Linked DNA regions of Elephas maximus indicus. The protein of the gene in region 3 interacts with the protein of the main gene of each other region in a biochemical or structural test. Links are inferred from orthologs where the notes say so. Each region holds a gene or a part of one and is shown on either strand. Other genes may lie near its edges.

Region 1 (9,733 bases), on a different chromosome or scaffold from region 3:
CTTCAACACTTGGCACCTAGAGTAGAATGGGGGTCCCTTCCCCTCTGTGAGCCTGGCCCAGGCTGTCCCTGAGAGAGGGCAGCCCCTCAGGATGGGGAGCGGGCAGAGAGGAGGGCTGAGCCCTCGCTCCAGTCCCCCACCCGGCCCTAGAGTGTCCTTCCAGCCCCAGGGTTACACAACAACGCTGGAACCCACAGTTTGTAAACAACCACTTCCTCACCCTTCTGCCCCTCCCTTCTTTTTCTTCCTTCTCCAACTTGAAGATGCTGTGGGGGTAGGGGGAGGTCACCCAACACCCTTGTCTCCGCAGCCTCTGAGGCCTGACGCACCAACAAGTAAAATATTGGAAGATGGTGTGTAGGGGCAGCTAAATGCCAGTAAGAAAATCAAAGTCAAACTGGGTGGAGCCTTCAACAACTGGAATTTAAATGCCAAGTTTAGGGGTATCTGCCTTTAGCTATGGCTCGATCTAGGTCCCTGAACAATGTTGGACCTCTGCCTCTGGCTTCTCCTTTCCTCCTTGATGGTTTCTCTCCTCACCAGGCTCCCCTCTTGTGACTCCAGGAGCCCCAGCCTCACCCTGGAGGCACAGCAGTCCCCTCCCAAAGTGAAGGCCTCATTCTCCATCACTTTAGCCAAAGTCTCAGGGCTGCCTCTGACTGGCTGAATTTGGATCACATGTCCCGTCCCAAACCAATCACTGTGGGCAGGAGATGGGCATGTTCTGATTGGCCGAGCGTGGGTCACGTGGCCCTCCGTAGGTGATGGTGGGTCAAGCTTTCTTGGACCCAGAGGGCGGAGGCGCTGGGACAGAAGTGGGTGGGTGTCATGTCTGCCCATGTGAGCGCAGCCACGTAATACTTTTCCCTCTGCTTCGTTTCTCTGCCCAGTGAACTATTTCATACAGAGAAGAGTAGAAAACAATGCAAGAAATGTGATTTGTTAGATTCTAACAGTGTTCTGGAGCCCTGGTGGTGCAGTGGTTAAGAGCTCAGGCTGCTAACCAAAAGGTCAGCAGTTCTAATCTATGAGCTGCTCCTTGGAAACCTTATGGGGCAGTTCTACCTTGTACTATAGGGTCGCTATGAGTCGGAGTTGACTCAACGGCAACGGGTTTTGTTTTGTTTTAAAACACATTTCCTTATTAAAATCAGAAACGGTGAGCAAAAGCCTGTTAGGGTGCTGAGTTAGAGAGCACAACAAAACTTGGAAATGCAGCAAGGATGACAGTGAGGATCCCCAACCTTCCCTCAGACGCTGGTCTGTGTGGGAAGATTGCCAGGGTGTGCAGTTGCTGGGCAGTGGGTCATTCCCTGTCCCCTGAGCAGCTGACACTTGGGTGGAAGTGTGACAAGGGGAACTGCCTCGGGGACAGCTGTGGGAAGGGCCGGCCAGGGGGATGAACCAGCCTGGGCAAAGGTGCTCAGGTGGGGGCCAGCCCTGCTAGTGCGTTCCAGTGGGAAAGGATTTGGGGCCAGGAACAAGAGGGAGGGGCGTTTTACTCAGAGTTCATGAGGAGGACCTGATCGCTGTCCTTTATCTGCTGGTTTGGGTTGGTATCCTCCCCCGTCAGACTGTGAGCCACACAATGGCACAGAGGCCATGTGTGTCACGGCCCCCACTGTGGCCTGAGAGGGGTCCTCATCAGGCTCAGGAAGGCAGACAGAGGGGCCTGGGCCAGCCCCTTCCCCAGGGCTGCTGCCTTGGACCTGTCCTCCATTTGGGCTGGGGGCTGCCTTGGGAAATGCTCTGCCCCAGTTGTCAGAGGGGAAACTGAGCCTGGGGAGGTGGGGGGTGCTTGTCTGCATCACCCAGTGAGGACAAAGGAGGCCTGGGACCCAAAGCCCTGGCTTAGTCCTTCCCAGACAGCATCTCACTCCCTCCCTCAAGGAAACTGAGGCTCAGAGAAGCAGCAAGCCACCTGCCCAGAGTCCCAACCAAAACAAGTCTGGGAAATCCTAAACCCAGGCTCCTGACCAGGACTTTGCACCACAATGGTTGGTTATCTGGCATCCTTTGGTGGAGGGTGGAGGAGAAAGTGGGCTCACTTCTTGCTCCAATGCCCTGACTTTGTCGCCACCTGGTGGTAGCGTACTGGAGCTGTCCCAAGACAGCTTCTTGACCAGTCAACAGCCAGTTTCGCAGGCAACAAATTCCCAGACACATTCTACAAAACAGAGAGGGTTTTTATTGTGCCAGTGGTTAATGCAGCCATGAGCAGGTGAGGTGGAATGACGGGGGCAGTCCCTCCTAGGGGGTCCTGCTCACAGGGTCCCTGGAGTGGGGAGAGGAGCCATCATCATGACCGCGGATGATGTCGTTGATCCAATTTGCGAACTGTGCCACAGGAGCAAAGGCGTCTGGGTAGAACCCAGAGCCGCAGCCTCCCCGGATGAAGGAGTCGATGCCCTGGACCACTCCACTGCAGACCAGGGGGCCGCCAGAGTCTCCCTGTGGAGGCAGACAAGGTCAGGAGGCTGCACTACAAGGCCCACTGCCCACCTGCCACCCTCGAGAGCGTGGGAAGTCCTTCCTGGAGTCTGACCACAGTCCCTGCTGTTGCAGCCTGGACCTGGAGGAAGGTGGGGAGCATGGGGTGGGGAGTGCAGTGTACATACGAAGCAGATGCCAGCCCGCCGACGATGCACGATGGTGCACACATTGGAGCGGCGGCAGAGAGAGGTCACCACGGTCACGTTAAGCTCCTGCAGGACACTGGGTTGTGGCTGGTTCATGCCCAGCCGGCCCCAGCCCATGGCCAGGCACCGCTCCCCGTCACCCACGCCACGGTCTTGGGCGGGCAGCTGGGCCACCTGCACATTGGCATTGAGGGTGGCCGTCCCATTGAGCTGTCGGGGGCAGGACAGACCAACAGCAGGTCACGAAGGAGGGCAGGCAGTGACCGTCCCCGCTCTGTGCCTCAGTTTCCCCACTGAGGCCCCATCAAAAGGTGAGTTCTGAGGTCTCACGCAGCACGTCACCCACGCCGCAGGCTGCTCCCCATCCTAAGCCTCGGTTTCCCCACCTATAAAAGGGGAGCAACCACAGTGGCTTGCGACATTGTTGGGAGAGGGAGTTCCCTTGGACGTACCCTCGGACGTGACCTGGGCGCAGTAAAAGGTAGATGTTTCACAAAGTAAACTGTGGACAAGGTGACTAACAACAAAAGCCTTGTTATAGAACATAGTCACCTTGCTAGCCTGGGGTAGGGGCTTCTCCCTCGAGCCTCCTACCTGCCCGAGAGTGGGGAGTTTTACCCCACTTTACAGAGGTAGGGACCCGTCTCTGCCTGTGGCCACAGGGTCAGTGAGTGAAGGGGCCCAGGCAGTATACAAGAGCAACGGCCTCATTTATTGACAACCCGCTGTATTATCATCTCCTTTAATCCTCTCGGCAGACTATGGGGCAGGTTTTTTTTTCCCCTGTTTTACAGAGGAGGGGTCTAAGGCACTAGGAGGGGGTGACATGCCTGGTTAGAACCTGGATTCGACCTCAGGTCTGCTGCTGAGGGCCCCGCAACCTGGTCCAAAGTGTCCCCCACACTCTTGTCCCTTCTCTGCCCGCCTCTGCCGGCTCCAGCCTGAGCGCCACCACCCGCCCATCCTGGCACCTGGAGAATCACGATGTCATTCTGTAAGCTCGTGGGGTCAAAGCCGTTTTCAAAGACCCTCTGGACGGTAAACGTCTGCCGTGTGCGCTCACGCCGACGCAGGTTGTGGGCCCCCAGGACTGCCTGTACAGACCGGAAGTTTCTACGGCAAGGGGGGATGGGCAGTGATTCGGGGTGGTCCAGGAGTTCAGAGTGGGGGGGACCCCAGGACTCAGCCCTGCGCCTGAAGGAACCTCACCTCTGCGTCCTCCCACACCCCTCTGACGAATGCCTCTACTTGGGCCTAGGAGGGGGTGCACTGTTGGGGGCCCTGTCCACACAGACCCGGGGCCCTGGCCTCACCCCCTCCCGTTCTACAGATGTGGGAGTTGAGTCTCCCAGAAGGGAAACAGCCCTCCAGGGTGACTCACATGCCGTTCACGCAGTGAGCCGCGGACATGACGAAGCTTGGGGTGATGAGGGTAGCTCCGCAGAAGTGGCCCCCACGCAGCTGCAGGGACACCATGAAAGGCCAGGCGTGGGGCCGGGCTGGCCGGCCACCCACAATCTCCGAGGCCAGCGCAGGGCCTGAGGAGACAGAGGGAGCCATGAGCCCTAGCCAAGGACACCCCGCCCAGCTACTTGAACCTCTACCAGGAATCCATGAGGTCAGGCTCCTCCCACCCGTTTCCCAGATGAGCAAACTGAGGCACAGACAGGAGAAGGAATCTGCCCATGGTCACTCCATCCAAGGCACAACCGGATCCAGACTTGGACCCCACTTCTGAGCCCCAGAGGGTAACCTCTGACCCCAGGGTTCAAACCCTGACTCTGGGCCCCTGCTGTGGCCTTGCCACTCAGAACCTCAAGCTCTTCTCCTGTACTAAGAGGCTCCTCAGCCCAGCCGTCACCTCCCACAAGGATGAGGAGTCACGTAGATCGAGCTCACAGTGGGGATGTGAGGAACAGGCACCCACAGATGTATGGACCCACACGCTACTCACCGCCCAGGAGCACAGCCAGTAGGAGGGGGGTGAGGGCAGGGCCAGAGGGTTGGTGGCTGTGGGTCATGGTCAGGCAGGGAGTCCAAGTCTCTGCCCTTGCAGCCCCACCAACCCCTCTTATAGCCAGCCCCGACATGGGAGGCCGTTGTGGTTGCCCCACCGCAGGGCCAGGCGTCCCCACTTCCTCTCCCCACTCCTGGGGGCTGTGGGGGACAACGGGGTGCTAGAATAGCATGGGGGTGCAGGAGGCTAGGTCAGCATGAGTAGGACTGCCAGATAAAATTCCGGATGCCCAGTTAAGATTACATTTTAGATAAACAATTGATTATTTTTTGTATAAGTATGTCCCAAAAACGGCACAGGATATACTTATACTTACAAAATTGTTGTTGTTAGGTGCCGTCAAGTCAGTTCCAACTCATAACGACCCTACGCACAACTGAACGAAACATTGCCCTGTCCTGTGCCACCCTCACAATCATTGCTATGTTTGAGCCCATTGTTGCAGCCACTGTGTCAATCCATCTTGTTGAGGGTCTTCCTCTTTTTCGATGACCCTCTATTTTACCAAGCATGATGTCCCTCTCCTGGGACTGATCTGTCTTACAAAATGAGTCATTATTTTTCTGACATTCAAAATTAACTGAGCATCCTGTATTTTTGCTAAATCTGGTCACCCTCGGCCTGAGGGAGCCCAGCCAGGTGCATCCCTGTGCCTCAGTTTACCTGGGGTGCTATGATGATGACAGTGATAGGGTAACCATAACCTGGAGCTGCCCTGACATTTCACAGGGTTATGAGGGAACTGCTGAGTCCCCATTTGAGATGGGGACACTGAGGCATAGACAGTCCCCCATGAATTGCCACACAGAGATGTAGTGGGGGGAGCCAGGATTTGAACCTTGCCCCCGGGGATCACAGCTGGACAGTGATTTGAGGCAGACTCTGGGTCCTGGCTTTGCTGTCCTCCACCCGAGCCTCAAGGGTCCCTCTCAGGGCCTAGCCTTCCAGCATTTATTTGATTATTGCTTATGACAGGGAACTCACTTCACTTGTGGGGAGGGTGTGGTGTCAGTCTCTGGAGGCCAGCAGAGGTTCCGGGAAGGACTCCACCCCACCCACCCCCGCCTTGCTGATTTTCTGTGAGCCCTCCCCCGGCCTGAGGCTGTCTGTGGTCTAGCTGCTGTGCCTGCTGCAGGGGCTGGAGAAAGGACTCCTTCCCAGGCTGGAGGGGGCTGTGGGTCTCCATCAGGCTTGAGAGCTTAGGCCTGGCCCTGTGGAGGAAGCCCAGTCCAAACAACGAGAGGGGGTCCCCCAGGGCCCAGCCCAGCCCCCAGACCCTGGTTCCTCTTCCCACCTCCCCCAGGATACTCCCTCTGCAACGGCTACAGCCAAGGATGTCGCAAGACACAACGTCCCCCGGCTCCCTGGCTCCAGGACAAGTTCAGGCAAGGGAGCCAACAGACCCGTCTCTGGGGCAGACGGGGTGGGAAGCCCAGAGACACCCAGAGCCTGGGCCCCGCCTAGGTCCTGTTTGTCCCGGGGACCCCCTCACTGTGTGACTGCAGGCAGGTGAATCCCCAGGACTCTTCAGTGAGGACCTAGCATGCAGCAGGTGCTCAATTAATGTCCATTCTTCGTCCCCAGCTTGGTCAGACACGCAGTAACCAGTCCTGCCTCCCCCCGCTCCTGTCCTTGGTGGGATCCCCACTCTGCTGCCTTAAAGTTACCATAGAGCACTTAGTATGCACCTGCTGCATACACAGTCTTGTTTCAAGTCTAGGGATGGTGGATGGGGGAAGAGTGGAGGATGTCATGTCTTTTGGGGGAGTTTGGCCCAGGGAGGGAGACCAGACTTAACCAAGGCTGCATTTATTGAGCATCACCTGTATACCACATTCACACACCCTATGGTCATTAGGGGTGTCAGTTCTGGGTTCGTATCTCGGTTTGTTTCCGCTTGCCTGCTGTGTAACTTTAGGCCACTCACTTAATCCCTCTGTGCCTCAGTTTCCTCGTCTGCATATTCCAAGTTATAACAGGCTCCATCTCATGGGATTAAACGAAATAATGTTTGTAAAGTGCTTAGACAACAAAGCACTGTCTTTGAGGGTTTGTTAACCATTAATTATCTCATGAAAGGGGGGACGTGGAGGGTATAGACTGAGAGGGGCACACGGGGGCTTTTTTTTATCAAACATGTAATAAATCACTTATTTATTTGTTAATCAGTAAATAATGCATGTGTACTAAGCCTAAAAATTTAGACAGTCAAGACCAGGTTAGTAATCTACACAAATGCAGAAAGGAGCCATTGGCACACGGGGCTGAACGTGCTGTCAACAGAGAAAGATACCTGTTACATTAAGTCTGTTATCTCACGGATGCTCTTTAAAAGGGATGAATTCTGCCTTGTTCTAGCCGAAGTATTGTAATCCCAAATTAACACAGCTTTTTTTTATATTGTATTTGGAAACCCTGGTGGCATAGTGGTTAAGTGCTATGGCTGCTAACCAAAGGGTCGGCTGTTCAAATCCACCGGGCGCTCCTTGGAAACTACAGGGCAGTTCTACTCTGTCTTGTAGGGTCGCTATGAGTCGGAATCAACTCGACAGCACTGGGTTTGGTTGGTTTTTTATATTGTAGTTGAGTCCCTGAATGGAGCAAATAGCTAAAGCGCTCGGCTGCTAACTGAAAGGTTGGAGGTTCAAGTCCACCCAGAGGCACGTCAGGGGAACGGCCTGGCAATCTGCTTTGAACAGTCAGCCATTGACAATACCATGGAGCACAGTTCTGCTTCAGCACACACGGGGGCGCCGTGAGTCGGCGTCAGCTCCACGGTGCTGGTGGTGATGTATTTGAGAGCCTCTCTTTGGCTAAAGTGTTGATATCTTCAGTCATTTTTTCCCACTTGCCTGCGTACACACGGGTGAGTAGCGTGTGTGTGTGTGAGGCTGTTTTTGTGAAGTTTATCTATAATAACTGGTACACAAGTCGCTGGATACAATCCTCCTCGGCTCTAAACCCGAAGTTCGGTTGGTCTCCTTGTCCTTATCAGAGTGTGTAAAACTGTTATCCTTATAACAAAAGACAAGCTCTAAGACTTTAAATCGAAACCCGATTCCACTAAAAAATAAAAACCCATCACCATCAAGTTGGTTCCCACTCATAGCGACCCTGTAGGACAGAGTAGAACTGCAGCCTAGGGTTTCCAAGGAGTGGCTGGTGGATTCCAACTGCTGACCTTTTGGCGAGCAGCCATAGCTCTTAACCACTGCGCCTTCCACCAGAGACTTGGTTATTAACACTATTTTGCTCGAAGACTCATTTCGAGCACCTTCCAACCTGGGGGGCTCATCTTCCAGCACTGTATCAGACAATGTTCCTCTGCTATTCATAAAGTTTTCGAAACTGGCTAATTCTTTTCAGAAGCAGACTGCCAGGTCTTTCTTCCTAGTCTGTCTCATTCTCGAAGCTCAGCTGAAATCTGTCTGCCATAGGCGACCCTGCTGGCATTTGAAAACCGGTGGCTTGCAAGACGCCACAGGACGACAAACCGACAGACGCGTGGGAGAAGACTCGTATTTAAATATAAACCAAGAATTCAATCTACACAGATGTGGGGGCTTTTGGAGACCTGGAAAGTTCTATTTCGATAACCAAATAGTGGTAATAGGGGCTATAACCAAGTAAAGAGCTATGGAGCTTACAATTACGAAATGTGCACGGTGCTTGATCCAAGTTACGCTGCAATAGGAAAATAATAGTTTGACCGTCTTTCCCCCACCCACTGGAGGCTGGGAGGCCCCTAAGCTGTCAGGAGTGGTCCACCAGGCTGTGTGGCCCCTGGCTGCCGAGACCCCTCCCTGGGCCCCCACGGGGGACCTGTCACTCCCTCTCATCTGCTGACCATTCTGCCTGTTCTTCCTGTGGGTTTGTTGCCTAAATTTCAACAACCCCTGCCAACCTCTAGCCAATCAACGCAGCACCCCCAGCCCCTGGGGTCTTCTCTTTGCTACGCTTCCTTCCAAAACTTTCCTCTGCATCAATTTTCACACATATGAGCCCATCGAAAATGCCCAGGACTGACGTTTTCTGGGTTTTTCTGTCCCCATAAAGGGCTAATACTACCCTGGGTGTTTCCTCCAGCAAACCGGGTTTCCTTCCAATGCTGGGCATAGACTGGGGGGCCTGGTTCCCTCTGGACCTTTTGCAGAAAACTCCCCCGCCCTGGGCTGCAGGAAAAGGCTGAGAATTCCCAGCCCCCTCCTGAAACTTCAAAACCAAACCACACCCACTGCCATCAAGTCAATTCTTACTTACAGTGACACTATAGGGTAGAGTAGAACTGCCCCACAGGGTTTCCAAGGCCGTAAATCTTTACGGAAGCAGACTGTCACATCTTTCTCCTGCAAGAAGACTGGTGGGTTGAAACCGCCCACCTTTGGGTTAGCTGCCAAGACCTTAACCACTGCACCACCAGTGCTCCTGTTCCCAGAAACTCATCCATATACATTTCCCATCTCAGGCTTTTTGAATTGGTATGCCGCCACCAGGTGGCGGCAGAGTAAAGTAATAAGAAAGGAGCTGCTTCCAACTTTAGGTGTGTCCTACCAGCATGGGTGCCTCATTCCTGTGGACTCTTGCACTCTCCACAGCTGGCTGATGACCCCTGACTCTTCTCAGCTTCGGGCATCTCCTTTGGGCTCACCCCTGCTCTCCAGTTCATTTCCCATGTTGCAGCCAGGGGGCATCCTGCCCCTGCTTACCCCTTCAGAGGCTCCCTATTCTGTCAAGTCGATTACGGACTCATAGTGACCCTACAGGACAGAGTAGAACTGCCCCATAGAGTTTCCAAGGAGCGCCTGGTGGATTTGAACTGCTGACCTTTTGGTTATTAGCTGTAGCACTTAACTACTACACCACGAAGGTTTCCAATACCAGGAGTAATAAAATCCACCTTGTCACCATGTCCCAAGTAGCCTTGTATAGTCCAACCCTCTCACCTCCCCACGTGCCTCACTGTTCCTCACATCCCCAAGCTTGTTCCTGGTATTGTGCCATGCCTCTGCCTGGTGGGCCCTTCTCTTGACATTCAGCTCAGGCATTGCTGCCTCCCCCAGGAAGTCCCCCTAACGGC
Region 2 (10,462 bases), on a different chromosome or scaffold from region 3:
TTTTGTCAATCCTTGGGCATAAATGGAACTTGGAGGCCATTGTTCAATTCCCAACTGCATACCACAGGGTTGCTATGAGTCGGAATTGACTCGACAGCAACAGGTTTTTGGTTTTACTCTATGGTTGTAACTGTTATTTCAACTGACAATGAGCATGGTTCCACCTTGAGGTGCAAGCATTTTAGCAAATTGGTGGTCAATTAAGAACAAATAGGAACTGAACTAAATTGTAGAGTCCCTGGCAGTACAAATGGCTCATGAATTTGGCTGCTAACTGAAAGGTTAGTGGTTCAAGTCCACCTGAAGGCACCTTGGAAGAACGCACTGGTGATCTGCTTCTGAAATCAGTCATTGAGAACCCTGTGGAGCACAGTTCTGCTCTGGCGCACAGGGGTCGCCGTGAGTCAGAGTCGACTCCACAGCGACTGGCGAAACTAAATTGTGGTTCCTTTTGGGCAAAAATCCTTGGACGGTAAGAATCTCATCTATAATACAAGGTCATTTTTATACTGGGTGAAGTGACACATCACAATAAATTGCTGATAAGTTTTGCCACAATGGTGACAGGACCTGGCATTTGGGAAGGATATCCTCGAAAAACAGAGTCTAGAACAAATGCTGACCGTGATTTTTCTGTGAGATAAAATTGGAGGCCCAGAATCTGACAGTTGCTTCCTCCCTTGCTACTGCAGACAGTGGCCAATGGGGCTCTGGCCATGTTTCCGCAGACAAGACTGCAAAGGGTGTCCATTGTTCTGGGTCTCCATGTAACACCTGACCTGGCTTTGGCACAACTAACCCAAGTCTGGAGAAGCCAGCTCCATCCTTTGGGCACGGACTACGGATGACTTCCGCAAAGGTGCGAGGTAAGGTGAAGATAGCAACGTTTTCACTGGATCAGGTACCATGGCACCCTTGACCACGTAAAAGGGAGAGGGAAGGACCAAAGCCAGGTGAGTGGGCTAAAGAGCGGCTAAGAAGATGGCAGTGGGAACACATGAGAAGACAAGGTGTTATGGAGTGAATTGTGTCCCCCCAAAATGTGTGCCAACTTGGCTAGGCCTTGATTCCCAGTATTGTGTGGTTGTCCACCATTTTGTGATCTGATGTGATTATCCTATGTGTTGTAAATCCTAACCTCTATGATGTTAATAAGGCAGGATTAGAGGCAGTTACGTTAATAAGGCAGCACTCAGTCTACAGGATTAGGTTGTGTCTTGAGTCAGTCTCTTTTGAGATATAAAAGACGGAAGGGAGCAGAGAGGAGGGGGACCTCATATCACCAAGAAGCAACACCAGGAGCGGAGCATGTCGTTTGGACCTGGGGTCCCTGTGCTAAGAAGCTCCTAGACCCAGGGGAAGATTGATGACAGGGACCTTCCCCCAGAGCCAACAGAGAGAGAAAGCCTTCCCCTGGAGCTGCTGCCCTAAATTCAGACTTCTAGCCTCCTAGGCTGTGAGAGAATAAACTTCTGTTTGTTAAAGATATCCACTTGTGGTATTTCTGTTATAGCAGCACTAGATGACTAAGACACAAGGCTTTCAAAAGTCTGCTGAGAAAGCAGCAGGGAATGTGCCGTCATCAAACCTGTTTTAAAGATGAGACCTCCTGAAGCATGTTTGTATGCTGGATAAAATTTTCCAGCAGAAAGGACCCTTAAGGCAGATCCTCATTCTCGGAAAGGCCTTGCCTGCCCACCCAGAAAATGCGCATGCTGAACAGAGGGAGATCACCCTAAGAGATTAAGGCAGAGCTCACCCCATCCCTACACCCTGCACCTGCTTCTGCTCCCTTCCCCAAGTTAAGACACTCCACAGTAAAAAGATGGGTTATTGAACAGGAAGTTGATTGATGCAGTCTAAACCTAATACACCAAGCAGCACTTAATAAATGTATCAAAAAATTGTGGGAAAATATGGATCTTAGGTCCAGATCGAAATCCACTCTGTATTTTCTTCCCATTTAAACCCTCAGTCCCAAGAAGAATTGTGCTTTGGTAAATTCTATAGACCAGGATGTGATTTCAAAAACGAACGCACAGTAAACCTATAAAATGAATTTTATAAAGAGTTAAATTAAACTTCACGAGTTCTGGAAAGTATAGCAGGCTAGGCTCTAAGTGGTATTCAAAAAGAAAATTCCTGTTTATATCATCCTTTAATTATGTTGCCTCTAGATACATAGCAAATTACGTCGTGTAGACCAGCTGAATCCGCCTTAGGGGCTGACATTCCAAAGAAATATCCAGGAAGAGAATCTATTTGTGGCTTTTTTCTTTAACAGGTTTTCCACATTTTTTTTTCTTATACCACTGCAGTTCGTATGGCAATGGGCTATAATGTGGCTTATTTGTTGGTGAAGAAATATTAACACATTTTTTGGTGAAAAGCATTTTTATATTATAGGCCAAATATAGGCATATATTGCGGCCCAAACAAGCGTATTTTGTTAATAATGGGGATGTTTTAAAAACCACTGGTGTGTGTATGTGCACACATGCTTGTGTGTTTGAAAGAAAAGACTTAGTGGCTCCTGAAATGCAAAACACATATCCAGCTTTCATAGAGCACAGCTGTGAAAAAGTCTGCCTCTCCCTGGGTATTTCAGCTCACTGGAAAGATGAAGGTTACTTCCATGGAAAGTCAGGGTAAATGCTTTCCTTTCAAAAAGAGCCTATGAAAGACAGGGGTTTTCCTAGGCTGGTTAAAACATGCTATCCTGGTGCGGGGAAGCTCGTTCTAACACTTGGGTGTAACCCACTAAGTAAGTTCATCTTTCCAGCTCCTTCTTTCCATGGGTGGAAAAAGAATATGCATAGCCTCCCTCCACACAGGCGCACACACACAGACACACACTCACACAGAGAGACACACACATGCACAAAGACACACACACACATGCATACACACACAGACACATGCACACAGAGACACAGACACAGAAACACACAGACACACGCACACAGAGACAGACACACAGACACGCACACACACACAGACACGCACACACACAGACACACACACAGACACAAAGACACACACACACATGCATACACACACAGACACATGCATACAGCGACACAGGCACACAGAAACACACAGACACACGCACCCAGAGACACAGACACACATGCACACACACAAACACAACTGCTTTTCACAAAAGTCTTTGTTTAATCTTTCCTGCTCTGTATTTTCTTTGATATTTCTTAAATGTCTTCTCATTAAACCCAAATATATTTGGTTCTTGTTTAAAATGCAACTTGAAAATTTTTATCTGGTAATTTATAAAGCAACCGTCAAGTGTCTGTGCACTGTTTGTGGGAAGAACACCAGCCTATTGGACAATTCCATTTCTATGAAATGCCCAGAATAGGCAACTCTGTAGGGACAGAAAGCAGATGGGGGAGGGGGTGTAATGGTGGGGAGGGGGTTGGGTAGGACTCATGGCTAAGGGGTTTCTTTTTGGGGTAACCAAAATGCCCTCAGATTGATTGTGGTGATGTGTACGCAACTCTGAATATATTGAAAGCCATTCAATTGTATACTTTAAATGGGTGACTTGTCTGCCATGTGAGTTATATCTCAATAAAGTTATTTAAAAGGGAAAAACGAGGAGCTAGGTCATGTTTAGAATATGAATTTTAAAGAAGGTTTAAAAAAAGTTGAAACAGCAAGAACACTGGATTCAACCTTGGAAAGCCCTGGTTTAAACCCTGATTCCTTCACTTCCTGGATTTGGTAGTTTGGTCAGTGGGCAATTCACAGGATTCCTCCAAGTCTGGATTCCCTCGCCCTCACAACGGGGATGGATGTACTGAATTTATCTCACCAGGTGATAAAAAAGCAAGTATGAGTAAAGGAGGCGTGTATATACGTGTGAAAAGCGGCCTACCCCAAGCACTAAGTGTATATTTGTTGAATTAATATACACACACATCGTTTGGCAAGTTGATCCTGGGATTTCTCCAAGCAGAAGAAGGAGACATGTAAGTATGGAAAGTCTCACTTCAACCAGATCAAACAAGGAAACGGGGAATCCAACTGCACTCTGGTCAAATACACTCCAAGAGAGAATTCATTGTTTTAAATTCTGAAATGAGGGGAGCATGATACCTTCATAAAAATGTTCTGGATTAATCCAACTGAGAACTAGGCAAAGAGACTAACAACGACAGCCTTTAGGTTTGTTAGCTGTATGGGGTTTTTTTCCAGCTAAAATCATTTGGGCTCAATCTCTTAGCTTTGAAAAGTCACTCCTGATTGTCTCTGCCCATTCATTTTTAACACCCTGCAGTGTTCACAGCGAGATTAAGCTTATTCCTGAAGCATTCCTTAATCTCATAGTAGATTTTGAACTGGGACGCTCATGAACCACGAGCTAAAGTAAACGAGGTACACCTAAAACCATGGTACGAAACCTGGCACAGTCATGCATTGCTAGGAGGAAACATGATGATTAAAATAAAAGATGTTACACCTTACCTGGTGGCAGAAATAAAAGAAATAGAAGGACCACTTTCGTCTGTTCCATTTTGAGGCTGACCAACAATGTCCAGGAAACAGTGTGTCCCAATCCCAAAATGTTACTGACTCCCAAAGAGTCAATACATCCACAAACAAGATAATCCAGTGAAGTTAATGATTCCCTTGGTGGCCCTGCTGCTGGACTCCAAAGGGTCCAAACAGTACCTTGAATAGGGATCTTACAAAATATGTTTGAGAGCAGAACCTGCAATAAATGCTGGGAAGTGGTGAAAGCGCTTCTCCCCCACTCGGCCGCCCGCACCTCCTGCCTGTCGCCTGGTCCTCCCCTCGCACCCACTTCTTCCTCTTCCCCCTCTGCTTTCAATCCCTTTCTTTTGGATAAAATAATAGTCATAATAATAGCTAACGTTTGCTAAGAACTTTCCTCATCCCACTCTGGTCAGTGGTGCATACACACTGTCCCATTCAACCTTCACTGCCAGTACTGACGGAGGCAATCTTATTATTACCCCATTTTAAGGAGTGAGAACTGAGCCTCAGAGAGGTTAACTTGCCTGAGGTTAAACAGCTAACAAGGGATGAAGTTGAATAAACACAAACTATTTAGGCCTTAGATTATAAATTTAGTTGAGCTAAGACATTATCCTGGGTTAAGACATTATAGTTAAAATCCCCACATCCTGCACAAACAAAAACCAAACCAGTTTCCATCAAGCCGATTCCTATTCATGGCGGCCCTACATGTGTCAAGAGTAGAATTGAGCTCTAGAGGGTTTTCACTGGCTGACGTTTTTGGAAGTAGTGTTACACCTTTCTTCTGAGGTGCTTCTGGGTGGAGGTAGAGGTGAACCTCTCACCTTTCAGTCAGCAGCCAAGTGTGTTAATTGTTCACAGGACCCAGGGACTCCAACTTCCCACCCAACATCATGGAGTTGCTACGTAAGTAAAATAGTTTATTATTATTATTATTATCATTAACATTTCTTTATTCCCAGTGGGTTCGTGTGTTGGCCAAAATTGTACATTATAAAAATATCTATTCCCTCAAATGAATGTGCAATATATTATATCCCCATTCTATGAAAGAAAGAGTGGTAAAATCCAAAGTTTAAACAGCCTGTCTCAGCAAGGGCGGGGGTTTGGGGACCATGGCTTAAGGGGACTTCTAAGTCAATTGGCAAAATAATTTTATTATGAAAACATTCTGCATCCCACTTTGAAATGTGGCGTCTGGGGTCTTAAATGCTCACAAGCAGCCATCTAAGATGCATCAATTGGTCTCAACCCACCTGGATCAAAGGAGAATGAAGAACACCAAGGTCACACGATAACTAAGAGCCCAAGAGACAGAAAGGGCCACATGAACCAGAGACCTACAGCATCCTGAGACCAGAAGAACTAGTTGGTGCTCGGCCACAACCGGTGACTTCCCTGACAGGGAGCACAACAGAGAACCCCCGAGGGAGCAGGAGATCAGTGGGATGCAGACCCCAAATTCTCACAAAAAGACCATACTTAATGATCTGACTGAGACTAGAGGAATCCCGGCGGTCATGGTCCCCAAACCTTCTGTTGGCACAGGACAGGAACCATTCCCGAAGACAACTCATCAGACATGGAAGGGACTGGACAGTGGGTAGGAGAGAGATGCTGATGAAGAGTGAGCTAATTATATCAAGTGGACACTTGAGACTGTGTTGGCATCTCCTGTCTGGAGGGGGGATGGGGGGATAGAGAGAGTTGGAAGCTAGCAAAATTGTCACGAAAGGAGAGACTGGAAGGGCTGACTCATTAGGGGGACAGTAAGTGGGAGTACGGAGTAAGGTGTATATAAACTTATATGTGACAGTCTGACTTGATCTGTAAACGTTCACTTGAAGCTCAATAAAAGTTAATAAAAAATAAAGAGCCTGTCTTCATTTTAACAGCTGATTCTGTAGTGTTGCTTGACTTAAGGCTAGAATGACCAGATAGTAAACCAAACCAAAAACCAGTTGCCGTCGAGTCGATTCCAACTCATAGTGACCCTACAGAACAGAGCAGACCTGCCCCATAGGGTTTCCAAGGAGTGCCTGGTAGATTTGAACTGCCAGCCTTTTGGTTAGCAGCTGTAGCTCTTAACCACTAAGCCACCAGATTTTCCAGATAGTATAAGCTTTAAAATTCCTATTTCAGTGTTCAAAAATAGTTGGGACAGTGAAATTGACCTCTTTCTTTTAAATGTGAAATCAGGACAAGAAAGCATATACTCTTCTCTCTAGGCCAGCAAATTCCTTCCTCAGTATCACCTAGCGAAGTGTGTTGTTGTGTGTTGCCAAGTCAGTTCTGACTCATAGCAACCCCACGTGACAGTGTAGAACGGTCCCCCAGGGTTTCCAAGGATGCTCCCGAGGAGCAGCTGGTTGGGTTTGACCCACCAGCTGAGTGCTTAACTGTTGCACCTCCAGGGCTCATTGTGTATGGGTGGCAAGGGTGTGGAACTTACCTTGATGGATTCCCCAGGATGGAGGCACTAGGCGGACTTCGCCAGACCAAAACGTCCTTGAGAACAACAGTGCATCCCCTTGTGGAAGCAGAGATGGCCCATCGTCACTTCTTGATTTTCTGCTTCAGCCTGGCTGGCTTCTCTCCCCAGCCTGTCCCGCCTCACTCCACCCTCTTCCTCTCACCTGGTGGCCAGTTTATTGGCACCAAAGGTGGAGGCACACTGAGAAATCAATGCTAGGCAGACATTTCCCTGGATATAGCTGACATGTTTTGTTAGGGGCCTACAGTTGTGTTTGAGAGAGTATAGTACTTTGGGAAAAGAACTAATATTATAACATAACTAATATTGTAAGATAATATCATAGGATGTTTCCAGTGTGTTTTTGTTTCCTTTCAAGTGTTATCTTTTCACTGCCTCGTGGATGAGGCACTTCAGGAATGAGGTTATCAGAAATTCTACACCTACATAATTTTCCTTTTCCTGTTGATTTGAGTGGTGGTGTTACACCTTTTGCCCCCTTCCCCCAGATAGTTCTAGAATGCATTTGATTCTATGCATTCTTCACCACCTTTGTAATACAGTAGCATCATGAGAGCACAGAGGAATATTGAACAGATGTTTGCTGTCGTCCACCGGATTCTACAGCGTGCAGAGATGAGCAAAGGGGAGGTGTTGCTCAAGTGTAGACTGGGGTGGGTGCACAGAGACCTCCATCACGGCCCAGCCCTACCCCTCGGTTACAACAGAGGACCAGGTAGGTGGAAAGCAATGGACTCTCCTGAGTGTGTGTAGGAATCCCACACTAGCTTGCTAGAGGGAGGCTGGACTATTGTTTTGCCCCGGCTCCAAAGGCAACTAATTCAAAACAAGCCCCATGAAAGAATGTCAGAAACTGAGAAAAGAGATGTAGAAAGAGAGACCATTTCTGTACATTTATTACAACATTGAATAAACTCTGAGATGTGTATTCTTATTCCGTTCAATTCATAAGTATTTACTGGCTACTCGACAGCACCACGTTTGGTTTGGTTTGGTGTGTACAGTACTGTGTTAGATTCTGTTGTTGCTGTGTGCTGTGAAGCTGATTCCGACTCATGGTGACCCCATATGACAAGGTAGAACTGCTTCCATAGGGTTTTATGGGCCGTAATCTTTACAGAAGGAGCCCTTGTGGTACAGTGGTTCAGCACTTGGCTGCTAACCAAAAGGTCAGTGGTTCCAACCCACCAGCTGCCTCATGGAAGAAAGATCAACTCAACAGCAGTGGGTTTGTTTTTGGTTTAATCTTTAAGGGAGCAGGTTATCAGGCCTTTCTCCCGAGGAGCCACTTGTGGGTCAAACCAACAAACTTGCGGTTAGCAGGGGAATGCTTAACCGTTGCACCACCAGGACTCCTAGACTCTTTTAGGCTTATGTAAAAAGTATAAATCACAGTGTCTACCCTCTCCGAGCCCCCACCCCAAAGGAGTGACAGGAAGCCTTTGCACATAGATTTGTGGAGCCGCAGCAGCCACACGTGTAGTTAGGGACAAGGACATTAAAATGAGATGGAAGTTCAGCCTAATCCCCTGAGCTCTTGCCCAGCATGGGGCCTGCAACCAATATCTGCTCAGGTTCTTTTAGGAAGGAAATAATTAGCCAGTCACTCCCAACATGAGGATGGTAAATTCCTTGCAAGGAATTTCCTCACAGGGAACGTCTTTGGTAGTTGTGAACATGGGAAAGGCCAGCCTCGCTGGGAGAGGGAGGTAGAATTCGCCCCTCAGTCTCACTTGCACCCCTTTACGTGGTCACAACCTCCCAGGTGACAAGGTTTCACACAGCATGAGGACCTTGCAGTACTGGCCTCAGATCTTTGCCCTGCAGCGCCTTCCTACCCTGCCTCCACCTTCCTCAGCCCCAGGCTTTGCCATCTGGGAACTCGCATTCTAAAACAACTTGCTTCTTTGCCATGAACCTCTTGGAATGTTCCCAGGAAGACTTTGTCGCTTCAAAGCGAAAACACCAAAAAAAAAAAAAAAAAAAGAATTAATCTCTTAAGGACTCAAATCGATTTATCCCTTGGTTGTTGCGAGAGTTCTTAGCAAGTCTGTCTTTGCTCCTGATGTCAATTTGCAGGTTGCTTTTACTGTGTCAGTTTTTAGGGCATATTACCAGGGAAGCATGTTCTAATGAACCGGAAGATGTCTTCCATTTCTTTATGCGACCTTTACCCCGTGTTTGTTGGTTTTGGTCATCCGTCTCTGGGGCCAGGTAGTGAGAGGCTTATCAGCCCTCACCTCCGGTAAAGAGATGGCAGAACCGTTCACTTAGCACAGTGGTTAAAATGTAAGCTGCTGGGAGCGCTTTTTCAGTCAGACTTGACTGATCAATTCAGTGCTCTGTGAAGTAATATTTCTTAGTTGTGCTTGAGGAAATTGAGATGTTTATTCATTTTCAAAAATAAATCAGTTTTCGTAGGCTGTCTCCTCATCAGACTTGTACTATGCTTAAGAAAAATGTTAGCAGAGAAGATAGTAATTCCCAGGTAATCGACCCGACCGCACTGAGTCAGGCACATGGACTCCAAATAGACCTGGCTAATGTCCTTTCTCCTTTGAGCTGTGATTCACTATGCATAAAACAAGAGCCTAGGCTAGAGGTAAACCAACACATTCCCATCTCTACAATTCATTGTTCGCTAAGCTAATTAAGATAAAAATATTTTTTCTCAAGATTATCACGGTATTTAGGGGAGACAAGGCATGTAGAAAACATAAAATCTTTTAAGAAAAAAGAATAAGTGAGTGAAAAATCTGGTGGAATCTGCGTAGGGTCTGTAGACAAGTTCATTAAATCATGCCAATGGCAATTCCCTGGTCCTGAGACTGTGCTATAGAAATGTAACTTATGTAAGATGTCACCTTTGGGGGAGACTGGGCGATGGGTACACAGGACCTCTCAGTACTATTTTTGGAGCTTCTTGTGAGTTTATAATTATTTTAAAATAAAAGGTAAAAAATGTGTATGTGTGTGTGTGTACATATATATATTGCTGTTGTCAGATGCCCTTGAGTTTGTTCTGACTCATAGCCACCCCATGTACAACAGAATGAAACACTGCCTGGTCCTGTGTCATTCTCACAATCATTATTATGCTTGAGCCCATTGTTGCAGCCACTGTGTCAGTCCATCTCATTGAGAGTCTTCCTCTCTTTTGCTGATCCTATACTTTACCAAGCATGATGTCCTTCTCCAGGGACTGGTCCCTCCTGATAACATATCCAAAGTACGTGAGACAAAGTCTTACCATTCTCGCTTCCAAGGAACACTCTGGCTATACTTCTTCCAAGAATACACACACACACACACACACACACACACACGGAAACCCTGGTGGTGTAGTGGTTAAGTGCTATGTCTGCTAACTAAAGTATTGGCAGTTCAAATCCACCAGGTGCTCCTTGGAAACTCTATGGGGCAGTTCTACTCTGTCCTATAGGGTTG
Region 3 (9,958 bases):
GATAATGCATGTAGGGATTTCGCTTAATGTAGCACTTAGTACATATTTGGGAAGTGACTGCTTGATTATTTTTTGGCGTTGTTGTAGGGAGAGAGATGGTTAAAAAGGGGAAGGGGATGGAGTAGCATTGGGGTGGACAGAGGAGGTGCCATTTGGTCGGGGGGTGCTGTGTGAAGACTAGCGGTTCCTTTGGGGACAGGCCTGACCTTGCCATGGAAGCAGGAAGGTAAAAGGGTAAAGAAACATCTTCAGCGTTTTTCTGAGGGCCCTCGGAGCCTCGGCCTAGGCAGCGGATCTGGGGTAGGTCAAGGGGCTAGAAGGGGACCAGGGCTCTTCCATCCGATGTTGGGACTCCAGATCCACTCTGTGCTTCCTCCCAGGGAAGCCCCTTCGCACAGTGGAGCCGTTGGACAGTCGGGTACCCTTGACCGCTGTAGCTGTCATGCCCGCCCCACACACCAGCATCACCATGGCCAGCTCTGACTCTACCCTGCGCTTTGTGGACTGCAGGAAACCTGGCCTGCAGGTAGCAGGAGCACCCATCTTCCTGAGTCCTGGCTGGGGTACCTGGCAAGGAGGGGAGGCCCACAAAGACAGCCAGGGTATTGTCTCCAGAACACTTAGTGTTTGTCTTTGGAGATAGATCACGCACAGCAGCAAATCCTGGGGCTGGGACTCTGGCCTGTGATGGAAGCTGGGAGGGAACGGAGGAGAGGAAATGACACTGGGCTCTTCCCTCCTCTTGGTAGGTGGACAGAGACTCAATCCTCTTGCTCTGTGGGCTCAGGTGGTGGGTAGGACCTGTAGGGAGAAGCGGGATGGGGCGGGTGGGATGGTGGTCCCTCACTCTCAGTCTCCTTCCACCTGCAGCACGAGTTCCGCCTGGGCGGTGGGCTGAACCCTGGGCTTGTCCGCTCCCTGGCGGTCAGCCCTAGTGGCCGCAGCGTCGTGGCCGGCTTCTCCTCAGGCTTCATGGTGCTCCTGGACACCCGCACGGGCCTGGTTCTGCGTGGCTGGCCCGCCCATGAAGGGGACATCCTGCAGATCAAGGTGAAGTTCCAGGTCCCCTTGCCCTCCTCACTGCCTAGCCTGGCTCCAGTCCCCACCCTAGCCCTTCATCTCTGCTGACACCTACTCAAGGACAGGCAGGCCGGGAGGGTGGCCCTCCTGGGCCAGCTCAGGAGCCAGCTGTGGTGCAGGGGCCTGGGCTAGAGGCAGGCCATGGGGGCGGGAGCAGGGGGGCAGAGCTGACCCTGCTGCTTCCTGGAGATGTTCTAATGAGTAACCCTTGTCCATATTTGTCTTGCTTGGAGGATCAGGGGTCGGGCCCTGTCCATGACCCAGTTCAGGTTAAATAAAGCTCAGTTGAGAGGCTGTTTACTGCCCCTAGCCCACTGAGCAGAGTCCATGCCCCTCACTGGGCTGCTCTGGTTGGGGAGGGGCAGGCCTGGGTGTGGGGGTCCTGCCCGCATCTTCTACCCCACTCTAGTGCTCCATCACAGGCCTCAGGGAAGGAACAAGACTATTTGTGGGAAGGCTTTTCAGGCAGCTGGGACTCTCCCACCCTCCTGGATGGAGGCCAGGGGACATGCACTGCCACTGCTAAGGGCAGGCTGCTCCAGGCTTCCTTCAGGGACCCAGGGACCTCTGAATTCAGACATTCCAGCAAAGAGCCAGGAGGACTCTGCATTCAACCTGGGTGTTAATCCTGGCTCTGCCATTTACTGGGTTTGTGACCCTGGGCTGATTTCTTAACTTCTTAACTTCTCTGAGTCTCAGTTTTTCCCTCTGTAAAATGGAGACAATGACAACACTTACCTCAGAGTTGTTATGAAAATTTAATGTGTAATGTTACATGCCTAGCATGTAGTAAGTTCTCAAACTACAGTGATGATTAGGTTGTTAACACTCTACTATGTTAATGTTAGCATCCTATGACAGAGAGGGCCACAGTCTGTCATCCACTTAGGACACCCCATCTTCCCTGTGAGATGCTGTGGGAGGAGATGGGAAGCTCCCTGGGGTCTGTGGGCTCAGCCCTGCTGAGGCTCTCCTCTCCCTGGGCAGGCGGTGGAGGGTAGTGTCCTGGTCAGCTCTTCCTCCGACCACTCCCTGACTGTCTGGAAGGAGCTGGAACAGAAGCCCACGCATCACTACAAGTCGGCATCTGACCCCATCCACACCTTCGACCTGTATGGCAGCGAAGTGGTCACTGGTACTGTGGCCAATAAGATTGGCGTCTGCTCTCTGCTTGAGCCGCCTTCCCAAGCCACCACCAAGCTCAGCTCTGAGAACTTCCGGGGCACGCTTACCAGCCTGGCCTTGCTGCCCACCAAGCGCCACCTCCTGCTGGGCTCTGACAATGGGGTCATCCGCCTCCTGGCATAGACTGAGTTGTGGGCTGGCTGGGCCAGGGTTGGCAGAAATCCCCTGGAGTCCATCCCTGCTCCTTGTTCCCCCAACTGCCTTTCAGGCAGGCCTGTGTACCTACATGGCCAGCCAGCTGGGGCCTCCAACTGGGCTGTGCCTGGGCCTCTGAATCCCTAAAGCCACCGAGGCTGCCAGGTGTCTCACAAGTCCTCATGGCTTGGGAAGATGCTCCCCGCAGCCAGCAGGAAGCAAGAGGGAGAGCGTGGGAGAGCAAGTTCCCTTGCTTCTCCTGGACTTGCCCTCTGGGTCCATCCACGTAGGGATTAGAAGGCTCCAGGAAGGGGAAGGGAGACTGGCCCTGTCCAGCCAGTCTCCAGCCAAGGCCCCTGTTGCTGGACTCTGTCCCTGCTCTTCAAGGACAGGGATGCTGCCCTGGACCAGGGCACTGATGGTGCTTGGACTCCAGCCTCTGGGGGGTGGGGGCTGGCCGTGGTTCAGGAGTTAAGGGCCTTAGTCTGGGGCATAAGTGTCTACCCAGCCAGGCCCTGCCCGGTGTGGGACCAGTGGGGGAAGAAAGAGGGTAGGACTAGTGGAGGGAGGATGAGCTGGGCCAGCTGGTGCCAGCCAAGTGTGACCCCATGCCTTGCCTGCCCACCCCCACCCGCAGTGTTTGTGCCTTGAACTGAGGAGGCAGCTCCTAGGCCCAGAACCCCTCTGAGGGGGGAGGGTCCAAGACCCCGAGAGAAGGGGCAAGAAGAATCATCTCTGCATCTCAGTTCTCTCCCAGGGGACAGGAAGACCCAGGCATCCCTTGGTGCTCACAGTGGAGCTGAGATGAGGTCTGAGGCTCAGCCCTGCTGTCTCCTCACTATTTGCAATAGATGTAAATCTGACCAATAAATCCTTTGGAAGAGCATGGATGGAGTGTGGCTGCTCTTGATGGTGGTGTCAGGGCGGGGAAATCTGAGACCCAGCAGCTTCCAGGGCAGTGGGGAGGGGGAAGGGGGACGCCAGTCTGGCCACTGCTCTTCGGGTGGCATGAGGTATGGGGCTTTGTTGTATGCAGCCCCAGGCTGGTTTTCAGAACCCTCACCCTTGGGGTGGGTCAGGAGGCGTTGCTCGCAATGAGGTAGGACTTGGGTACCTCTGAGGGAGGCTCCATCCTTTGGCATGCTCCTCTCCCCACCCCAGGCTGAAGACAGCCAACCAGGATCCTGGGCTTGTAAGGGTTGGGGGTAGGCATTCTAGCCCAGGCTCTCGGCATAGACTCCTACAGCTTCCTCTTCCCTCCCCCGGGGCCTGGGAGGCAGCTGTGGGGGAGAGGGGAGGACATTGGAGCAGGAACCGAGATGTGACCCTGGGCTCAGCTCTGTGGCCTTGGCCAGGTCCACGTAGCCTCTCTGAGCCAGGCTGGAACGGGAATCATCCCCACCTGTAGGGCCTCTGGAAAGCTTGATATAGGGCCAGGCCCCTGCCCTTCCTGGGTCTGCCCTCACCTGCCCAGGCCCAGCCTCCTCCATTGTCTCCTTCTGCACCTCCTTTCTCCAGGCTCAGGTGGGATCCAAACCTAAGGGGGCTCCAGGGTCTCTCAGAATTAGATGCCTGGTGGGAAAGGGGTGAAAGGGGCTTCTGGCCCCAATATCAATGTTTAACCGGATGTGCTTGCCAATATTTACCAGAAGAGAAAGCAATCCTGAAAAGGGGTTGGCTCAGAGCAAAGGTCCTGGTGGGAGGGGAGGGCTAGGCTGGCCTGGCTGGAGCTGGGCAGAGCGTGGGGAGCACCAAGCGGGGCCAGAGGAACATCGTGTGCGGCAGCAAGGAGCCTGAGGAGGTACGAGGGAGCGGGGGCTTGGGCCTGCTCCCTGGGGCAGGAGATGAGCTGAGAGTTGGTCCCTGATGCAGGAGTCTGCTCTGAATTTGTTCAGGAGGCCTGGAGATTCCCAGCGTCCTGGGGTGGTGAGGAGCCAAGGCTGGACCTTTGTGAGGGGAGACTGAGTGGGAAGTGGGGCTCAGTTTGAAGAACTGAAGTCCTTTTCTTGTGACCCACCCCACCCCAGTGCTGTCGAGTCAACTCCGACTCATAGCGACCCTATAGAATAGAGTAGAACTGCCCCATAGAGTTTCCAAGGAGCGCCTGGCGGATTCAAACTGCCTACCCTTTGGTTAGCAGCCATAGCACTTAACCACTATGCCATCTTCTTGTGAGGAACACTCAAAAACCCAGGCTGTAGCTCAGGGCCAGGCCAAGGGCCCTGCCTGTCGTGGGGAGTAGGGTTAGGATGACAGGCCTTCCCAGTGGCCTGGCCCTGAGAATGGTGGTAGCCCTACTCTGGGGCTCCAGCTGGGGCTGATTTATCCTCCTCCTTTTTTTGTCTCAGACTAAGACCTGGTGGCTCAATGGTTAAAAGCTCACCTGCTAACCAAAAGGTTGGTAGTTAGAATCCACCAGCTGCTCTTTGGAAACCCTATGGGGGGCAGTTCTACTTGGTTCTATAGGGTCACTATGAGTTGGACTTGACTCTATGGCAATGGGCTTTTTTTTTTTTTAGGCTAACACCTGCTCATCCCAACTGTCACTCAGCAGCCTGGCTTCTCAGAGCTGGCCTGGGGCAGGGTGGGGGGTGAGGCCTGTGATTCCCGTAAGTCCAAGGGTGGCTCTGGCTGGAGTCATTCATTGGGCTCCACTGCTAGGTCAACAGGGCAGCTCTAGGGTCAACCCCCCACCCCTGCTGTGTCTGAGGACCTCAGGGTTGCATGCCTGTCCCCGCTGTGAGAAGGGCTGGCCACATGGACAGCAGGTTGTGTAGGGGCTCTGGGTCAGGGGAGACCTTATGTGGAAGGGCTTCAGGGCAGGCTCCCCAGAAGGGGGGGACCCTGAGCTAGACTGAGAACAGCCATGAATGAAGTACCAGGCATTGTACTCAGTATTTACAAAGATGGCCTTATTAGGGTCTTCACTGCACCATGGGAGGAGATAGGGACTTTTGCTGCCATTTTCAAGATAAGTCAAAGCTCCGAGGGACTTAGGAAGGTACCCAGGTCACCCTAGCAGGAGGCAAGCCTGACTCATAACATGAGGCCTTAAAGAACAAGGATTTTTTAAAAATAATACTTTCTTTCTATTAACCAAAACATTCTCAGTGCTGGAAATGTGAAAAACCAGAAAGAAAACACAAACAGAAAAACAAGTGCTGGGAGAAATCCCAGCCTCTCAGAGCTGAGAAGCACCACTAATGTGTTTTGGGGTCATGTGCCATAGCTCAGGAGTTTGTCTTGTCTGTGAGCATGAGTGTGGTGGGTTGGATTCGGATGGCTGGCTGTGGGGGCGTGAGGTGGGAGCTGAGGCTTCCTGTCCCTGACACAGGAACATGGCACTGCTCCGGGGGCTCCTGGTGTTCAGCTTGTCCTGTCTGCAAGGCCCCTGCTTGGTGGTGAGGAGGGGCCCCTGTCTCGTGGGGCAGGGGTCGGTCAAATTGAAGAGGCTGGGAGGCAGTGGTGGGAGAGGCCAGAGGTGCTGAAGGGGAGGAGGAGATGGGCCAGGCTGGGAGGGGAAGGAGGGGACAGGATTTGGCTCTGATGGGGTCATCCCCTCCCACCTTTGTCCCTTTCTCAACAGTTCTCTCCTGTGGGTGCCGTGGGGCCCTTGGACCAGCAGGTACTGGGGAGTGAGGTGCACGTGAGAGGGAGGGAGGCACCAGGGAGGAGGAACTGGGTCTGAAGCCTCACCTGTGACCTGTGCAGGGTGGGGCCCACAGGAAGGGCCACTCTCTATCTGCTTCCTTCTCTCTGCAGTTCATAAGTGGGGAGACCCAGGAGAAGCTGCCTCTGCCTCCCCTCCTCAAGTTCGGCAACAAGGTACAAGCTGGTGGGGCTGGGAAGAGTAGGCGGAACCAGAGGAAGGAGGGCCAATCAGCAGGGGTGAGGGGCCTAGGAGGGTGGCCTTGAGGTTGAGGCTCTGGAGTTTGGAGGCAGAAGGGAGATGGTTGGAAGGATAGAAGGAATGGATGTGGTCCCCAGAGTGCCAGCGTCCACCACATTCTCTCTCTCTTCCCTCAGCACTGGGACAAGATCCTGCCACACCCAAGTGCCGAGGCTATGAGGGAGACCTTCAACACAGAGCCTGGAGATGACACCTTGAGCCCACTGACCCCAGAACCTCCCCAGCAGGAGCCTGATGCCCTGAAAAGGGCCCCAGGAGACTGCAAGGGGACCTCAACCCCAGAGCAGACCCGCAGGCTGGCCCAGGCCATGATGGCTTTCACTACAGACCTATTCTCCCTGGTGGCCCACACGTCAACCAGCCCCAACCTTGTCCTGTCGCCCCTGAGCGTGGCCCTGGCACTGTCTCACCTGGCATTAGGTACCGTGGTAGCACCCGTCCAGATTGGCAGAGATGGGAGGCCAGTAGGAACCCAGTCGTCCAGAGTATTGCAGTGGGTGGCTCCTCCATCAGAATCACTTGGGCGTTTGGTAAAAATGCAAATTTCGGGTCTCTATGAGTCAGAATCCCAGGGATTGGGCCCAGGGATCTGCCTACGCACAAGTTCGCCTGGTGATTTTTATGCAAGAGTTTCATTGCTACAGTGTCTCCCATTGGACTGGAGGGTCTCCTTGTGGGAAACTGAGGTCCAGAGAGAGAAGGCAATTGCGAGAGTGAGGTCACCTTGCCTTCATGGCGGAGATGAGAGTAGACCTTGGGAGTCCAGTACTTGGTCTGGCATTGGGAGGAGAGTTGGTGGCCCTGTGGGTATGCTCATGGTGGGTATCCAAGAGGGACTGGATGAACGAGGCCTGGAGGAACCCCCAGCCTGGGCCACAGCCCATACGTTCCCCTCCAGGTGCTCGGAACCAGACGTTGCAGAGGTTGCAGCAGGTGCTGCATGCGGACTCCGGGCCCTGCCTCCCCCACCTGCTGAGCCGCCTCTACCAGGACCTGGGCCCTGGGGCATTCCGATTGGCTGCCAGAATGTACCTGGAGAAAGGTAGGTGCTGAGGGCAGAGCTCCCTGGGGGTGGCCGGGGGTGAAGGGGATGGGCTTGGCCTTGGGTAGTAGCCTGGGCCCAGCAGATCCTGAGCCCTGGGAACAGTTTGCTGCCTCTTCTGTGTAGGATTTCCCATCAAAGATGACTTCCTGGAACAGTCGGAACAGCTTTTTGGCGCGAAGCCCATGAGCCTGACGGGAAGACAGGGGGATGACCTGGCAAACATCAACCAGTGGGTGAAGGAGGCCACGGAAGGGAAGATTGAGAACTTCCTCTTGGAGCTACCTGAAAACACAGTGCTGCTTCTCCTTAATGCCATCCACTTCCAGGGTGCGGCCTTCCCCTTCTCAAGTACCCAGGCGCTGGAAATCCCCACCCTTGGTTTCCTCTGTGTTGCCCTGGAGGCTGAGTTGGGCTTGTTCTGAGGGTTCCTCTCCCTCTTAAGGGCCATAAGGCAGGGAGCCAGAAGAGCTCTCTGGATAGTGGCTTGGGGGAGGGGACAGGAGACAGGGAAGGGTGTGGTGGCGAGAGGGCCTAGGAACTGGGTGGTAGTGGGGCCTGTTGTGGAGAGGACACCCTAGAAGGAAGGTGGGTATACACAGACCCAGGGTGACTTCCTAGGAACACTGCAGGGGCTGGGAGGGTAGAGCCCAGATTTAAAAAACGCTGTAGGGAAGAGACCTCAGAACAGCGGTGGGGGTGGGGGGCGGGGTCCACTGCACATAGCCCGAGGAATACTGGCCTCTACCCCTTGTTCTGTGAAAAAGTTCTGGGTGGGATGGGAAGAGGCTGGTGTTGAGGAGCCCACCCTGGTCCCAGCCCTTGTGGCCTCTGCCCTCCACCTGGATGCAGGTCTCTGGAGGAGCAAGTTCGACCCAAGCCTCACCCAGAGAGACACTTTCCACCTGGACAAGCAGTTCACAGTGCCCGTGGACATGATGCGAGCCCACAAGTACCCTCTACGGTGGTTCTTGCTGGAGCAGCCTGAGATGCAGGTCGGCCTAGGTTGCCTGGGTTCTGGCGGTGGGGAGGGGAGTAGGCAGGAGCTGGGGACGGGGCCCTACCTTCCTGTTGCAGGGCAGTCATGTCCTTAGGGCTGGTGGCTCTGAAAGATCTCTCTGTCTCCCTACCCAGGAGGACCTAGTAGGGTCCAACTTGCAAGGTGGGCAGCTGGTGTGACTTCATTTCACAGATGAGGAGCTGAAGGCTCAGTGAGGCAGAACTTGATAATCCCATTCATCTGTCTCCAAAACACATGTTGTCCCAGACGCCGCCTGGGCTTGGGTGCTTGCTGGTCCTCACGTTGCCTCCTTCCCTTGTTTGCAGGTGGCTCACTTCCCCTTTAAGAACAACATGAGCTTTGTGGTCATTGTGCCTGCTCAGTTTGAATGGAACGTGTCCCAGGTGCTGGCCAACCTGAGCTGGGACACCCTGCACCAGCCTTCAGTGCGGGAGAGGCCCACCAATGTCCGGCTGCCAAAGCTGCACCTGAAATACCAGCTGGACCTGGTGGCCACCCTCAGCCAGCTGGGTAAGGAGGCTGGGTATGGACCAGTTGGATAAGGAGGCTGGGGCAGTGTGGGTGAGGAGGGAGCCACTGCCTGGCACTGGGTATGGGTCAGAGCTAGCGTTATGTCCTACCCTTTGCTGGGGCATAGGAAGGATGAGGGGATTCGATATGAGCCCCTGAACCCTCTGTTCCTGGGGTGGGCTGGGAGGCCCAGGAAACGGGGATCTGCTTTGCCCAAGAACATTGCAAAGACCCCCAGGTGAGAGCCTGGGGTAGCCTCCTAGAAGGAGGAGGAAGATAAACTGGGATTTCACACTGTTAAGGAGATGCATCCACCCATCAGTCATTTGCTAAGCAACTTCTATGTGCCAGGTGCTGTACTAGACCCTGGGAGCACCCTGTGTACAAAGAGCTCAGTATAACAGGCTGGGCAGACAAGGAATCAGACATTTCCTGTTCAGTATAAGTGATAAGACAGAGGGGAGCTGTGGGAGAACATTGAATGGCATCAAGTTGCACTTCAGGAAAGGCTTCCAGGAGGCAGTGCCATTTAAGCTGAGGCTTGAAGGTTAAATAGTAGTTAGCCAGCGGATCTGTGGGCTAACAGATCCAGGGCCAGGACTCTCTACCAAACAGGTCCAGCCAGGCAGCTGTGGGCAGAGGTTGGCTCTGACCAGCTGTCTGCTGCCCTGGCAGGCCTGCAGGAGCTGTTCCAGGCCCCAGACCTGAGTGGGATCTCTGACGAGAGCCTGGTGGTGTCCAGCGTGCAGCATCAATCCACCTTGGAGCTGAGCGAGGCTGGCGTGGAGGCGACCGCGGCGACCAGTACGGCCATGTCCCGCATGTCCCTCTCTTCTTTCAGCGTAAACCGTCCCTTCCTCTTCTTCATTTTCGAGGACACCATAGGCTTGCCCCTCTTTGTGGGCAGTGTGAGGAACCCCAACCCTGGTGTGCAGCGGGAGCGCAAGGAGCAGCAGGATTCCCCGGACAACAACTCCTTCCAGAACCTGAAAACCTTCCCCCGCGGAGACAAGCCGTTTGGCCCTGACTTGAAACTTGCGCCTCCCTTGGAGGAGGATTACCCTGAACCTAGCAG

What was found.
Region 1: of the proteins of SERPINF2 (region 3) and ELANE, one has a biochemical effect on the other in vitro, tested with the Homo sapiens proteins (2 studies listed by BioGRID). The link is inferred for Elephas maximus indicus from reciprocal best matches to the Homo sapiens genes SERPINF2 and ELANE.
Region 2: the proteins of SERPINF2 (region 3) and PLG form a complex in vitro, tested with the Homo sapiens proteins (2 studies listed by BioGRID, with this or other methods). The link is inferred for Elephas maximus indicus from reciprocal best matches to the Homo sapiens genes SERPINF2 and PLG.

The regions. Positions count from the first base shown.
Region 1 is NC_064821.1:596,815-606,547, reverse strand, and holds ELANE (neutrophil elastase), read right to left. Parts: upstream 4,675-9,733; 5' UTR 4,661-4,674; coding exon 4,594-4,660; intron 4,178-4,593; coding exon 4,021-4,177; intron 3,753-4,020; coding exon 3,611-3,752; intron 2,850-3,610; coding exon 2,619-2,849; intron 2,452-2,618; coding exon 2,251-2,451; 3' UTR 2,174-2,250; downstream 1-2,173. UniProt on the Homo sapiens protein: Serine protease that modifies the functions of natural killer cells, monocytes and granulocytes. Inhibits C5a-dependent neutrophil enzyme release and chemotaxis. Promotes cleavage of GSDMB, thereby inhibiting pyroptosis. Promotes blood coagulation.
Region 2 is NC_064819.1:232,833,111-232,843,572, forward strand, and holds the start of PLG (plasminogen), read right to left. Parts: upstream 4,535-10,462; coding exon 4,486-4,534; intron 1-4,485. UniProt on the Homo sapiens protein: Plasmin dissolves the fibrin of blood clots and acts as a proteolytic factor in a variety of other processes including embryonic development, tissue remodeling, tumor invasion, and inflammation. In ovulation, weakens the walls of the Graafian follicle.
Region 3 is NC_064837.1:19,983,368-19,993,325, reverse strand, and holds the start of SERPINF2 (alpha-2-antiplasmin), read left to right. Parts: upstream 1-5,738; coding exon 5,739-5,801; intron 5,802-5,947; coding exon 5,948-6,025; intron 6,026-6,162; coding exon 6,163-6,225; intron 6,226-6,426; coding exon 6,427-6,730; intron 6,731-7,208; coding exon 7,209-7,352; intron 7,353-7,478; coding exon 7,479-7,682; intron 7,683-8,204; coding exon 8,205-8,347; intron 8,348-8,678; coding exon 8,679-8,883; intron 8,884-9,558; coding exon 9,559-9,958. Other genes in the region: WDR81 (WD repeat-containing protein 81), read left to right, coding at 381-526, 871-1,050, 2,068-2,388.